Alligator mississippiensis: one gene and its partner. The protein of the gene in region 2 interacts with the protein of the main gene of each other region in a pairwise test. Links are inferred from orthologs where the notes say so. Each region holds a gene or a part of one and is shown on either strand. Other genes may lie near its edges.

Region 1 (7,633 bases), on a different chromosome or scaffold from region 2:
TTTGGGTCCCTTCACAAAATTTCCCTTCTACAAACAGTTAGCTGAATTTGTTTAGTGCTATACGTTTATAAGGCCTAACCCTGCAAACTCTTAACCCCACTGAAGTCAATGTCACGCCTTGTGTGAACAAAAGACTACAGAATTGGACCCACAGTTTGTAAAGAGACCTTTCAAATAAAAATAACCCTATTACTGTAGTTACAAGCATCTCATTGGCATACCCATAAGACTCTGGTCTTCAGAGGAGACCCAGCCAAAGAAGCAATGTAAGTAACTGTTACTGATTAATGGTATTCATTTTTATTTCTTATTATGCCCCCTCTCAGCTCCCCATGCTCTGACGAGCACATTTGTCCTCGTCTCCCCTTCCCACTCACTGGTGTAATGTTTTCCCTGTTATACTGTTCCCTAACACTGAACTTCCAGGTCTCTTGCTCTGCACAAAATGGTGTCACTTTTTCTCTTTACAATCCTCTCTCAACCAATTTCTTACAACTTGTATTTTAACTTTGACATGCACTCCTGTGGTGTTTAATCCTCTTGCCTTCCCCTGCTTCCACTTATAAGCCTATGTAAACTCATATAATCTTCATTTGCATTTGTTCCTCCGTCACAATACCCCGTTCCCTTGTCAGACAGGAAGATGTGAAGCACAAAGCTATCCTAGGTACTAATGCTGCACCTACTCTAATAAGTTATACTGACATGGGGGGTGGAGACTCCAGCTAAAGTTTTCCTTTTAAAGGAAACAACTTTAGAGCTACAAAAGAAGGGTACACTTCACACATTTTAATTTATCTGTTTAATATTATCCCAACTCACATATTGATTTTGTTTATTTTTACTGTCTATCCTTACGGTTCCCAAATCAGAAATGAAAGCAGGCCAAGTTACATTGAAAAAGGGCAAGCTAAGAGCCATGGGTGACTGGTGCTGCCTTAGTCGGGGGGGATGTGCCCCCCTCTCCCCCAGCAACCAGTCAGCCACTGAGGGGGAGTCCCCCCATGGCCAATCTCACTGATGGGGGGGGGTGTCCCCCGCAGCCAATCGCAAGGTGGCCGATTGCTGCAGCCACTTCTGAGAGCGCCACAGCACTCCCACTCCCTGGCTAGCGCTTGCAGGGGGGGGGCATCAGCACTCCTGCCTGTCCCCCCTGCCCATTGCCTAAGCGGCAAGCGCAGCCAGCCAGGGGTGCACTGGTGCTCTCGGGGTACTCATACACCCCCTATGCGTCGCCACTGCTAAAAGCCAGCACTTTGCCGTCTCTGTCTGGGCCTGAGCTCAAGGTGCCATTACACCTGCAACATCTGAACTTGGCCACAGGCACAACCCCTTCAACACAGGGCAGGAAAGGAGATGCTCTGCTCTGTAGGATGGACACCTTCATCTGCTCAGCCACCAGCCTGTGAGCAAGATCCAGTCCCCTCCATGCCATGCCATCCAGCCTGTGGGATGTGGGAAGCCCTAAATATGGAGTGCAGGGCCCATTTGTGGCACATAGGGGGGTGGGCAGGGACTCGGATTCCAGTCAGGTGGGGGCAGTGTGGTGGCCGGGGGCTTAAACCTGAAAGACGGAGGTGGCGTGGGCCCCGATCCATGTCATGGAGCGGCCCCGTGCCATTCACCTAGTTGGAAGTGAAATGCTGCCCTTCCCCTCCACAACCCCCACAAACAAGAGTTCATGACATGCTTTAGCGACAAGAGGGGCCTCTAAACACCAGGCAGAAGGCAGCCCAGGGCCAGAGCTCTGCCAGCCTGCAAGGGAAAAGCCGCAGTTTCCCATGTTCATCTCCTTTCATTTTTAAAGTTTGTTCACAACCCTTTCATATATTCTTGTGACTCACTTTGGGGTCACAACCCACAGTTTGAGAAACACTGGTTTAGATGAAGGGTTGTACAGGATGGTTTGGATAGGGATAGTCCTGTCTCAGGCAGGTGGTTGGACTAGATGCCCTGTGGAGGTCCCTTTCAGCCAGAGTTGCCAGGTCTTAAATATGAAATCATCATACTGGAAGCTCAAAATGATGGTATCTGCTGAAAAAAATATCCTATGCTGAAAAAATATGTTAATTAGTCTTTTTCTTATTTATACTGCTCACTAAGTCGACAGTGAGCAAGTGAGAATGGGTCATCCAAGTTGAAGCCTTTATTGCAAGGCTAGCAATAAAAGAAGCCTGCTTTTCTCTGATTAAAAAAAAAATCCCCAATTTTCAGTTTTAAAAAAGTAACCCAAAATCCACATTTCCCCATGATTAAAATGAAACGCCACTAGATAGATAGACAGACAGACAGACTGACTACTGGTGTTTCATTTTAATGGTGGAAACGTGCATTTTAAGTTACTTTTTTTACACCGAAAATTGGGGATTTTTCCTTTTTTCTTTTTTTTTTCAGAGAAAACTAGGCTCCCTGGTCATAAGGGAGCGCTGACAGCAGACCCAAAAGCCGATTAAGCCTCCCTGAGAGGCACTTGGGTCATGTGCCACATCAATGAGTTGCCTGAAAAATGATTGCACGTGCATGGTGCATCACAAAAGCGTTGACATCCTCGCACAAGCAAGACAATGATGGCAGCCCTGGCCACACTGCTTGCACCCCACTGGCCTGGCCAACGGTGCTCCTGCCTCAGGCAGGGCTGGGCCTAGATGGGAGCCGGCCCCCCCGTCTCCAGGCAACGCAGGCTGCCGGGCTGGGGGTAGGGGTTGGGTTAGGAGCCTGGCCGCCTCGCGGACGTCACAAAGGGCCACGACGTGGGCGCTGCCATGTGCCGCGAACGCGCCTGCAGAGAGCGGCCGTTGCCGACGTCACAGCTCGGGCCCGTGTGGCAGGTGTCCCCAGAGTCGGGGGCCGCCAGGTGGCCCGCGCGAGGCAGCCCCCTCCCCTCCCGCGTGACGTCGCCTCCGCCCCAACGTTCCGTGGGGTGGAGGAGGGGCGCGCCAGTCACCTTCCTTGCCGCTCATGGTAGCTCCGCTCCGCTCCGCAGCCCGCGCGCGCCAGGCCCCGCCCCCTCCGAGTTCTCCCCTCCCCTCAGCCCTAACGAGACGTCCACGCAAGCGCCTGAGGACAGGCCAAGAGGCGCGCTGCCCAAACGGAACGGGCCCGGAGCCCATGGGCCGCTCAGAGAGCAGCTGCCCGGAAGGCAGGGGCTGTCTCGTCCGCCCAAGGCGGTGTGCCCTGGGAAACGTCACTGTTTCTGGACAGGCATTTTGTAGGGCAGCTTAGAGAGGGGTCAAGTCAGGAACCCAGCTCTCTACAGGCCCCGCGGCGGCGCTTTGCATCATGGGGACTATAGTTCTGGGAGGGGGAGGTGCCGCTGCAGTGGGCGAAGCTGGGAGTGCCTGGAGTGTGCGGCCCTGAGCTGCTCCCGCTCGCCTCGGCGGTGGCTGCCTAGACAGCGTCTGTCCCGTTGCTCCTGCGGTGCTTTAGCTATGGGACAAACATGCGTCCTCCCACCGCAGCAAATGCTCCACCTTCACCCACTCGTTCAAAATTAGCTTTTTCTCAGCTTATGAATTATAATTCATAATATGATAATGATGATGATTATTTTATCCTTGTGATTATCGTGATAGCTATTTTTTATTATTATGTATTATATTGTGATTATTATGATGATTTATTATCAGTATTATTGTGATTATTATGATTATTTTATTATTGTGATTATTATGGTGATAATGATTATTATTTTATTAGTGTGATAATTGTGGCAATAATGATGGTTATTTTATTAATGTGATTATTATGATTATTGTTATCTGACTTGATTTCAAGGGAGCAACCACATTAAGAACTATAAAATGTCTGGGAAGAGAGAGGCAGGCATGATACAATAGGAGTCCTGAAACTGACATGAAGTATTAGCGAAATAAAGCAGGAAGGGACCTCCCAAGGGCATCTAGTCCAGTGGTTCTGGATTTTTTTTTATACCAGGACCCATTTGTAAACATCGATGGCCAGTCCCAACCCAGTGCCTCTCACCCCCAACCCACTGCCACCAGGCCCGATCCCCACAGTGTTTGGGGCCAGTGGCAACCTCAAGCAGCCCCTCACAGACTGGAGCTCTGCCAGCCTGCAAGGGAAATGCCGTCGTTTCCCACATTTTTTCTCCTTTAAAAGACAATCCATTTTTAAAGTTTGTTGATCAATTTTTTTTTTTTTAAGTTTGTTCATGACCCTTTCATATATTCTTGTGACCCATTTTTGGGTTATGACCCATGAAACACTTGATCTAATCCAACCCCCTGCCTGAGGCAGGATCGTTCCTAGCCAAACCATCCCAAAAACAAGTCTATCGTCTAACCCCATGATTCTCAGCCAGGGTGCTGGGACACCCTGGGGTGCCACCAGATCTTTTGCAGGGTGCCACTAGGTATGAGGAAATAAGCCAGGCTCAAGTGTGTCCCTGTCTGGACAATCTCCCACCCCTACTGCTCAGCCCCTGCATAAGGAGGTAAGCGCTATAATCTGTACATTAGTTTTTGAAAATGGGTGTCGCTCAGTTCACAAAAGTTATGGAGGGCTGCCTCCAGTCCAGAAAGGCTGAGAGCCACTGGCCTGACCTCTCAGTAAAACTACAGTCAACCATAATACAGCACCTTTATCTGCCACAGGTAACACAGGGGGACCATGGCAGCCAACATCCTGCAACTGCAAGGGTTGTTAATATACACTTGGAAGATCCCAGGAAGAGGGCCCCCGCTCTAGAGAGGAAGGCAAAACCTCCCCACAGTCCATACTTACCTGACCATGGGGTGAAATTCCTTCTTGACCCCAACCATGGCAATCAGTTTGACCCCGAGTGAAGCCATAAGGTCCTCTAGGCAGGAACCTCCGGGTTTAAGCCTGGACCTCTGCGTGATGGCCGTTATTTTTCTATCTGACCTTCATCAATGCAGTATCTGAGCGTTTATCAGGAATGTATCCGAACCCCATTCTACAGTTGGGAAGCCGAGGCATAGCATTAAACAAGTGGTTTGCCCAAATTCACACAGGAGACCTGTGGCTGAGCCAAGCATTGAAGCCATAGTACAATGTCCTATCTGCTATACCATCCTTCCTCCCCTCAAGTTGTTTAATGTACACAAAGTAATAAAAATGTGTACAAATGAGCTCAACAATCCCTCCTGTCCTGTTAAAGGACGCACATCCTGCATATCTGGAATTCATATATTCTGGTAACCGGCCACCTCTCTCTGCCTCACTGGTTTCACCTATGCTTTCCCCAGGCTGCCTCATCAACTTCACAGAGGATTATACCTTGATGGCTCTGACAGAAAAGCTGGTTGGAGTTCCATTCACCCCATGGACAATTTGAGAGGATTTACCTTTCTGTCAATCTCAGGGAAGTTTCTGCTGCAGCGTTTTGATTGGGACAACACTGAGATATGGAAAAAAGCAATTAAGTCATTGTAATGCAGGAGCTGCACTAGCACAAGAGCCACTGATGACATACTGGTCTCCATGTCTCCCCACCCTCTGCATCACCACCATCCTGACAAGAGAGACCAGTAACACCAGTCCTTCTTCATTTCACTACCTTTGGTCACCTTCAACTTGCTGTTGCTGAGTAGGTACCATTAAGGGCATCCCAATCTCTCTAAGCAGCCCTACCTCTTTCCCTGTTTTACTGGGGAAAAACATCAGTAGCAGTTACATGCCACCACTCCTGCCCCATCAGCTTTACACTGCTCAAATTTTATAGTATGGATAAAGTTCCAGCAAAAGCAGGAACAGGAGTGTATGATGACAAGTGTGCATACAGATGACTGATCCACCCATTGTTAGCACGGTGCCTTTTGTGCCAATAGTCTTGAAATACTACAATATATTTTATAAAAATAGGATTCTTGCCCACTACGTATTTTTTAGGTTCATCTCAGAAAATAAGATTCTCACCCACTCCATATTTTCTAGGTGCGTCAGGTTGATCCACTAGACTAGGAGGATATTCACATATGCAGAAATAACTATCTGCACCTTTAAAATAAACTCATATTCCCATAATGCAGTGTTTTGAAATGTGATATGCTGCAGCTTTGTGATACCTAGTAGATGGAGGGCATGACTCATGCATTTATCCTAAAATAATAAAAATGGCAATGCTAAAACACATATTTATCTGCTATATGGCCTGAGATTTTAATCAAGGCAGGAAGACTTGTGTTATGCTTCCCATGACTGGGTTCCTTGTTTCATTGTCAAAAGCGTATGAGCTATGGAGTCATATGACATTGCGCAACTTTTACATGCAAGTCCCTGTTAACAAAAACTAATTGTTTGTTATTACTGTAATTCTAATCTGTGTTTTAACATAATATTGAAAACAGATGTTCCTCGCTATCAACATAATTCAGATTACTGTGGCAGAACTAGCCAGACAAGTGGGTTTCCCAAACCAGACTGGCAAGGGAACCCCCTCTGTGGCAGCTCCCCAGGCCACTACCTGGTTCTAAGCAACCCCCTCTCACTTGGACCCAAGGGCTGAAGGAAAAAAAAACAGGATTTTTTAAAATATACATTTTGTGTTCCAGGTCAAATCAGCCAAATCATATTGATTGGACAGAACTCAAGCATTCCAAAAACCATATCAATCGATCAGGCAGAACGTAATCATTCTAAACACCATGCATGGCGCTACAACTGGCTAGCATCCTCCAGCCTAGGCTCTCACTCTGGGACTTCAGCTACTCCTAAATCCATTGGCAGGCATCCAACATGCAGGCCCAAGCCCAGAGGTCTTGGGATCTGGATGCCCCCTACACTTGATATGAGCCAAAAGGCCACCTCCCAAACACACTTCTCTAGTAGCCGACTATAAAGTTGGGTTTTTTTGGGAAATATACACACACACACACACATATATATATATGTATGTATGTATACACACACACACACACCAACTCAGAACGCTTTCAAAACAGACCAGTCCGAAAAACCCATATCCCTGCACCTGAGCACTCATTACAATAATCACACCTGCACTCCTGTACACCCAAAATGCTGTTAGAGTGAAGCCCAGGAAAAAAGCTTGGCAGGAGCTTGAGGAAGTGTACAATAAATTGGGACATGGTGGATAAGGTTCCACTGGTGCCTACTGAGCTCCATCCTCAGAGGAAATTGGGAAAGCCCCATTCTGAAAGCACCCCCTAGGGTCACAAAGCTCCAGGCAGCTTTTTCCCTTTAGATACAGAAGCTGTGGGGAGCAGAGGCAGGTGTCAACAAGTCCCAGGAGTGGAGATTTTTCTTCTGGAAATAGCAACTTTCACAGCATGGGCAATGTCATCAGACTCTGCCTTCTTCCACTTAAATGCTGAATACTTTTTTTTTTCCTCTAGGGATTGGCTGCTGACCGACCTTCTTCCAGGGGCATTCCCTCTGTCTCAGTCACTCATGCTTTTCTCAGTCTACCTCTTCTCTTCATCTCCCTTTGCCTCTCTTCTTCCTCCTTCCTTTATTATGAATGTAATAAACTCACAGGGTCATTACTGGTTACCTTAAGACCAGCTGAGCTGTAAGGAGAGGATCTGGTACAACGTTACCCTGTTTCAGTGCCCTGGCAAGGAAGTTTGGCACTCAGGGCAAAGTCTGCAGCGACAGCCCGCCCTTGCCCTGTGCACAGATCCAGGGTGCA
Region 2 (7,784 bases):
TACAGCTCCTCTGCCTCCCGGTACTTGCCCTGCTTCAGGTATGAGGAGGCCTGTGGGAGGGGCGAAGAGGGCAGGGCACAGTGAGGGGGGCAAAACTGCCCCCTTAACCCTCTGCATGCCAGAGCCATCCCCTCCCCCCCCCACCATTAACCCATCTGCACCGGTGCCCCCCGAAGCCCAGGCACCAGGTTGTTCTTGGTCTTGGCCACGCTGGGGTCACGGGGGCCGAGTCGGGCCTGGTAGATGCGCAGGGCACGGGCGTAGTACTGCTCCACTGCTGCGAACTTGCCCTGGTTCTGGCACAGCAGCGCCAGGTTGTTGAGCTGCTTGGCCACATCAGGGTGGTCAGTGCCCAGGACCTGCAGCACGGAGTGGGGGGAAGAGTCAGGCTCTGCCCTGCATCGCGCGGGGGAGTGGGGGCACAGGTTGGAGGGCAGCACCTTCTCACGGATCTCCAGTGCCCGCTGGCACAGCGGCTCAGCCTCCTTGTACCGGCCACGCTTGCCGTACAGCACTGCCAGGTTGTTCAGCGTGGCAGCCACCTGTGAGGGAGAGGGGGCTCAGAGCCCAGCTCTGTGCCCACCCCCCCCCACCCCATCTACGCAGCCCCATGCAGGGTGGGGGCAGGAGCCAGTGGGGGGGGGGGGGAGAGCTACTCCAGTCCCATGGGGAGGGGGCAGGGCCAAGGGACCTCCCCTTGGCACATGCTGGTGCCCAGCCCTGGCCTGCCTCCCTGGGGCCGGACTTGGGGGTGTGGGTCAGGCCCTGAAGCCCCTCACAGGGAACCCCTTCCCCTGCCCCGCTCACGGCTGGGTGCTCGGCGCCCAGGGTCTGCTCCCGGATGTCCAGCGCATCATTCAGCAGCTCCGTGGCCTCCTTGTACTTGTTCTGGTCCCTGGCAGACGGGCAGAGCTGTGTCCCAGGGCGTGCTGGCTGGGGTCCCGCGTGCCCAGAGGTGGCCAGTTGGGATCCCGTGTGCCCCAGGCAGGGACTGGCCAGGGTCCCATGTGCCCCGGGAAGGGGCCAGCCAGGGTCCCACATGCTAGCTGGGGGGGCCTCACCGGTAGACGAGGGCCAGGATGTTAAGCATGGTGGCCACGTCGGGGTGGTTGTGGCCTGAGCTCTTCTCCAGGTCCTCCAGTGCCTGCTTGCAGAGAGGCACAGCCACCTCGTAGCGACCCTGGGCTGCGTACTGGATCACCAGGTTGTGCAGTGTCCGCAGCCGCGCCGGGATCTCGTAACCACCTGGCTGGGCTGCGTTCCCCGCCACACCATCTTGGGGGGTGACAGGCATCAGCTGGGGGCAGTTGCTCCCGGCCCCCCCCAGCCAGCAGCCAAGGGCAGATCTGGTGCTGGGGCGGGGGCAGGATGGATGGGGAGCCCTACCCCCCCCAACACTGTCCCCCGCAACACTGCCCCCAGCTTAAGCCCCCGCGCCAGCCGCCCGCACACACCCGGCCGCGTTTCCTCATCGCCTGTGAAGAGCCCGCTTAGCCCGTCATCACGCTCTGGTGCCTCGTCCTTCTCCAGCTGGGGGCACAGTGGGGCCATGAAGCAGCGGGGACCTCCCTATGCACCTGCCCCATAGGGCTGCTCTGTGTCCCTGAGCCAGGCCCTGTGCTCCAGCACTGGGACAGGGAGGTCAGGTTCTAGCCTGTGTGGGGTTCGGGGCATGGGCAGGTCCCAGTGCTCTCACCAGCTCGTCACGGCCCTCGTACTGCTTGAGCTGGTTCAGGAACTCGAGGTGCCGCTTCTCCTCCTCCAGCTGGGCCACGGCCTCCTGGCTCTGCTGCAGGCGCTGCTGGGTGCCCGCCAGCTCCTCCCACAGCCACTGGTTCTCCTGGCCCAGCCGCTTGGCCTGAGCCCGCAGCTTCTGCTTCTCTGCCTCCAGCGCCCCGACATGGGACGACAGTGCCAGCAGGAGCTGTGAGGACAGGGGTCAGTGGGGTCGGCTGTGCCCCCTCCCGCCAGCTCCTACCCCCTCCCCAGCTCTGACTCCCCCAAGCTCCAGGCTGGGGCTGAAGCAACCCCAAGGCCCCCCCAGCTCCTACCCCTGTGCCCTGGCAGCCCCACACCTGCGCCTCCCCGAGCCCCAGCTCGATGCCCTCCAAGATCCTGCAGACGAGCTCGTGCTTCTCCTCCAGTAGCTCCAGGGCCCAGTCCCCGGCAGACGGGGGTTCCAGCTCCGTCCCAGGCGCGGCATCGGGACAGCAGTGCAGGCTGCCCTGCAGCTGCAGCAGGATGGCACAGTTCTCACTGCGCAGTGCTTCCAGCCCCTTCACCACCTGCCGTGTGCTGGCCACGATGTCGTCCGCTGTTGGCCGGCCCCCAGTGCCCTCACCCAGCCCTGCCACCACCGACATGGTGTCGCCTGCCTGCCCACCTGCTGAAGCAACACAGTCCTCAGCACCAGGCCAAGGGGCAGGTGGGGGTAGCAGGGCAGGGACACGAAGGCGCTGGCAAGTCCCTGTGGGTGGGCACAGGCGGGGCGTGGGAGCTCCATGGCCCGGGCGGCACCAGACACAGCCCCAGCCAGAGGCACAGATGGGCCCCAGCTTGCCCTGCGCAGGGTGGAGCACGGGAACTGGTCCTGTCAGCTGGTGCCCAGGGAGTGCGTCTGCACTCGCTGGCCCACAGCACACATGTGAGCAAGCCCACGCGTGCACAGCTGCAGGCACGGAGCAAAGCACCGCTTGCCCCCAGACGGGGGTCCCCAGAGCCTGGCCACGGCGTGCAGCCTGGGCACGGGGGCCAAGCCATGGGGCCTGCCCAGGACCCAGCCAGGGCATCAGTGCACCTGTGCACCATCCTGCCACAGCACGGAGCCCTGCATGGGGCCACAGCCCATAGCCCGGGCACGGGTACGGGGGCCCATGACCCTGCCAGGCGCTGGGGCATGGCCCTGCAGCCTGGGCACGGAGCCTACCCCGCGGGTCCCTGCCAGGGCAGCGCTGCACCGGCACGGACCTGCCCCGGGGCACAGCCCGGGCACGGGGGCCCGAGCCTCGGGGCCCGCCCGGGACCAGCCATGACCCCCGCACACACCTGCCCGGCCGCGCCGCGCCGCGCTACAGCATCCCCGCCGCCCCGCTCACCTGCCGCTGGGGGCGGTCCCACAATGCACCGCGCCCCGCCCCCCGGGGCCGTCGTGGGCGGGGCACGCCTCGCCCAGCCCCCGCCGCCCTCCACCCCCCGGATCGGGGCCGGCCCCGCCCAGCGCTGGACAGCGGCCGCGGCCGTGCGGACCCTGCGGAGCGGGGCTGAACCCGGCGGCCCCCGGTCCGCCCCGCCCCGCCCCGCCGGGGTCCCGCAGCCCCCGTCCCGGGTCGGCCCTCCCGCTTCTGCATCTCCGTCGGGGGAGCGGGGCCGCGCCTGGCAGCCGGGCCTCGGGGTAGGCTCCTACGCCCGCCGGTGGCATCCCCTGAAGGGCCCCGATCCTCCCTCCGCCCCCGAATCTGCAGCCGCGGCCCAGGCTCTTGCAAGCGGGGCCCTGCCCGGTGCCTCAGTTTCCCTGGAAGCAGGCCCCTGGCAGTGGCTCCCGCCAGCCCTTCCATGCGGGCACGGAGCCGCCCTGGGCCCGGAAGGCGGGAGCCGCGGGGCCAGAGCCGAGCCGAGCCGAGCAGGCCGGGCCCCCGAGCCAGGTTCCCCGAGCGCCCGGCCCGGCCCGGCCCGGCCCGGCCCGGCCCGGCCCGGGAGAGGTGACACCGAGTCCCGCAGCGCCGCCGCCTCTGCACGCCCCGCCCCTCCGGGGCCGCCAGGGGGCAGCGCCGAGCAGCCGGGACCGCAGGAGTGTGCTCATGCATGGTGGCGTGTGTGCGCGCACGTGTGTATGTTGTCAGGTATCCGGATTGTAGCCCTATTGGTCTGAAGGAAAACGCAGTCGGGACTCGTAGTAGAGATAGTATCTTGTATTAGACCAACTACGTTTTTGCAACAAAAGAAGTTCTTTAATTGCAAGTTTTCAGGCGCAAACACCCTTGATGAGGCATTGGAGAAAAGATTGTGAAAGTTCTCCTGGGTCGAAATGAAAGTTCATATTTCATAGGATTTCACAGAGGAGCCAATAGATGGACTACTCCTCGCATGTGTGTTTGCTTGTGTATGCATTTGTCTTTGGGTTTGTGTGTTTGCTTGTGTATGCATTTGTCTTTGGGTTTGTGTGTTTGCATGTGTGCCTGTTTGCACGTATCTGTGTGTGCGCTTTCTTGTGAGTGCATGTGTGCTTGTGTGTGTGAGTGTGCATGTGTATGAGTGCATGTGCACATGGTTGTGCCCCCCCCCCCCCCACTCAGCACTGCCTTAGGCCACTCCCAGGCCCTCCTGTGCCCCCTGCAGAGAGGCAGCCCCCTTTAGCCCCCTCCTCCCCAGGCTCAGCTGTCCCCAGACCCAGCAGGGCCTGGCAGTCTGAAAGCCCTTGCAGGACAGCACAGCTGCCCCAGCTCAGCACAGACAGTGGCTGCACCAGGGCAGAGCTGCCTCTGGCTGTTGGGCTCAGCCCCACTCCCTGTGGCAGCTGGAGATGCCCCTAGGCTCCTCAGGGCCCTTCCCTCCCTGGGACCAGGCTTTGGCATTGCTGGGCTGGCTGGGGGCACAGGTGGCACAATGGCTCCCATGGGTCCAGCTGAGGAGAACAGAGAACTGGGCCAGCACTGGCAGGGCTTGGCCCAGTGGGGACAGGCCATAATTACCGAGCACAGCGGTAATCACAGGCACCAGCTGGGGCTGCGGTAATTAGTGCTTGCTCTGTGCCTCCCAGGGCCTGCATTGGACCTTCAGGGTGGGAGAGCCAGCAGCAGGGGAAGGGGCAGGTCCTGAGAACAGGGGCAGCAGCTGCTGGTGGGGCTGGGCTGGGGAGTCAGGGCAGGTGTCCCAGGGCAGCCCAGGGGAAGCTGGGAGGAGACACCTCCTCCTCCACCTCCTGCTGAAGTGCCCAGGCCATGGCCCAACGCTGGAGCTGCTGTGGCCCAGCTGGGTGCAGGCAGGCACTGAGCGAGGGGTCGGGCGCCAGGATGGGCCTCTTGGCGCCGTGGGCCTGTTCAGGCCAGGCCAGCAGTGCAGATACAGGCACTGTGGGAAACCCGACCTGCCTGCCCAGCTGGCTCTAAAAATACTGGCTCACCCGCCCTCCCCCCCCCCCCCCGACCGGCCCAGCCTGCTGGGATTGAATTCTCATGATCCAGCGGATCAGCTCAGAGGTCATTGCACAGGGCACCCCTACCAGGACTGCCTGGGGTGGGGGGTTCCCCCCAGGCCCAGCACCAGCTCCCCCAGCCTTGCGATGCCCCAGGGCCCAGCACAGCTGAGGGGGCAGGGTGGAGGTATGTGGGCAGGTCACTGCAGGCTCTTGCCATGGGCATGTGCATGTGCAGGCATGTGCATGAAGAAATGCAGAGCCAATTTCTGCCATCACACTTGCCTCAGTTTCCATGAGCAGACAGTGTAGGAGGGGAACATGGTGAACACCCCCTGGCCTGGAAGTGGGGTGGGGGGAGGGGTGATGATGGCAATATGGGTCCCTTGAAGGCTGGTGCAGCAGGGGGTTCAACATAGATCTGGGCACAGGCTGCTGTGACCTCCCCACCCCAACGTGTTTGGCAGGTGGGGAGTGGGCACAGGGCCAAGAGCACCTGGGCCCTGGGGCATAGAATGATGGGGCTGCAGGCCTTGCCCCACAATGCCCCCTTCCCCTGTGGTGCCTCTAGTCCCCCAGGGAGATCCTGGTTGGCCCCCAGTCAGGTGGGTCCTGCTATTTTGAGCCAGTGCCGAGCTGGTTTAGTGACTGTCGTACATGCTGCAGCCTATTCCTGGAGCTCAGCCCTTGCCCTGGGGCTGGAAGACCCCCAGATAGCCTGCTGGATTAGCTTGCCCACAGCTGCCCTGAGCACTCCTGGAGGAGCATGGGCTAGTGCCTGCCAGGCTGTGCTGTGGCTGCCCCAGGCTGGGGGGCTCCAACTTTCAGCAGGGTGCCAGGTGGTCCCATGTCCCACTCCCCCCCCCACACACACACACATCCGGCGGGGTCTCAGCACCTCCGGGGGACAGCAGGACCCAGCTCCAACCAGCTGGCTCCTGCCCTGCTGCTAATTTTGGCCCTGCCTGTGGCCACCTGCCTGTGCCGTGATATTTCCAGCCAAGATCACGCCTGGCCTTGTGATGCCCACGGCAAGGTGACCTCCAGACAGGGGCGCCCAGCTGGGGGTGCTTTGGGCCTGTGCCCGAGGCAGGGGCTGGCTGAGGTGGTGCCAGGTCCTGGCCAGGGGCAGGTGCCAGCCAGCCCGCACCCCACTCCCCTCCACACACACACATGCACATACTGTGGCTCTTCTCCAAGGCCTTGACTGGCATGGCCTGCTCCCCGGGTGCCGGGACATGCTACACACTGCATGTAGCCCCTGCGTACTCCACATGTGGGCCCTACAGATGTGCACAAGACAGGGGACACCAGTGGACGCAGCTGGGTGCCTGGGCAGGGTGGGAGCAGTAGGATTTAGGTCCTCAGTGTGTCAGGGTCACAGCCCCTTCCAGGCCTTACATGCAGGCCCCTGGATACATGTACAAACCCCAGCTTGTGCTTGTGCACCCCCCCAGCCAGTGGAGCCTGGCAGGAGCCCCAGCCTGAGCAGGGAGATCCCCCCAGAGCTGCCTGCAGGGCTGGGCTGAAACCTGATCTCCCGGCCCAGCATACGCAGGCGGGGCCCGCACCCCTCTGCACAGCTGCTGTCCCTGCACCTGCTGCCTCCACCCCCGTCCACCCCAGGGGCCCTTGAGCAGATCCCTGGGCAAGATCCAGTCCTGTTCCAGCCCCCAGAGCCAGCAGGGAGCTGGAGTGAGGCAGGGTGCCCCGTGGGCACTGCCAGCCCAGCCACAGTCCCAGGTGCCCGCAGGAAGGGCACACAGCAGGCAATCAATTGCCCAGAGGGGGGCACATGGGGGTCTTAGCAGTGCCCCTGGGACCAGCCCCTTCTGGGGAGCCTGCAGGGTCCGGCTCAGCCTGACCCCCAGCATTCCTGTCTCCCAGCCGTGGTGCCAGGGGCCAGAGCTCAGGTTACGCTGATGTGTCAAACTCCGGTGTTTGGCACAGCCCCGAGCCTGCGCCCATCCCATGCACTGGGCACTCTCCGGGCAAGGCCTCAGCCCTGCACCCCCAGCACAGAGCCCCTGCTGCCCCCCTGTCCTCGGTCTACTCCAGTGCCCACTGTGACCTCATCCCTTAACGCTTCTTCCCCGAGCCCCACTCCCTGCCAGGGGTCATTGTGCCTTTTGCACCTGGGAGCTGCCCAAGCCACTGCTCCCCCAAGGGCACTGGGGATGTCCCGACACCAACCAGGCCCTGAGGCCCGAGACCAGTCTCAGCACCCTCCCAGGCTGATGCCCACCACCAGACTCTGTGGGGTGGACGTGAGCTGGGCCCCAGGACTGTTCCCCCCCATAAATCATGGTGCCCTGCAGCTGCTGGCCCCTTCCTGCTCTGGGGTTGGATCCCTGGAAACACGATCTCAGCTGCTCTGCTCTGGTGCCAGCAAGGGCCCGGACAGGCTGGGTTGCTTGGGTGGGGGCCAGGGCACTGTGAGCCAGCACCGCATTGCTGCCTATATAAAGTGCTGGGCCGTCGGCCATGGGGGCGAGGGGCGGGTGGCTGGGGGGGTGAGGGGGAGCAGCGTCATGTGCTCCCATCCCAGCCAGGCCTTGCTCAGCACCCTCAGGCTGGTACCTGAGGGGATGGGCTGGTGCCAGCACTGGGGACCGCCCCCTGGCAGGGCAGGGCAGGGCAGCCGGGCACGGTC

What was found. The genes of interacting proteins can lie anywhere in the genome.
Region 1: the proteins of KLC3 (region 2) and TSNAX interact in binary tests that used the Homo sapiens proteins (3 or more experiments, as listed by UniProt). The two-hybrid records come from large-scale screens. The link is inferred for Alligator mississippiensis from reciprocal best matches to the Homo sapiens genes KLC3 and TSNAX.

What each region holds. Positions count from the first base shown.
Region 1 is NC_081824.1:149,870,813-149,878,445, reverse strand, and holds the start of TSNAX (translin-associated protein X), read right to left. Parts: upstream 3,007-7,633; 5' UTR 2,961-3,006; coding exon 2,945-2,960; intron 1,861-2,944; exon of another isoform or gene 1,845-1,860; intron 1-1,844.
Region 2 is NC_081838.1:168,976-176,759, reverse strand, and holds the start of KLC3 (kinesin light chain 3), read right to left. Parts: upstream 3,033-7,784; 5' UTR 2,790-3,032; coding exon 2,076-2,789; intron 1,925-2,075; coding exon 1,697-1,924; intron 1,531-1,696; coding exon 1,455-1,530; intron 1,276-1,454; coding exon 1,062-1,275; intron 896-1,061; coding exon 808-895; intron 543-807; coding exon 441-542; intron 360-440; coding exon 186-359; intron 51-185; coding exon 1-50. UniProt on the Homo sapiens protein: Kinesin is a microtubule-associated force-producing protein that may play a role in organelle transport. Plays a role during spermiogenesis in the development of the sperm tail midpiece and in the normal function of spermatozoa.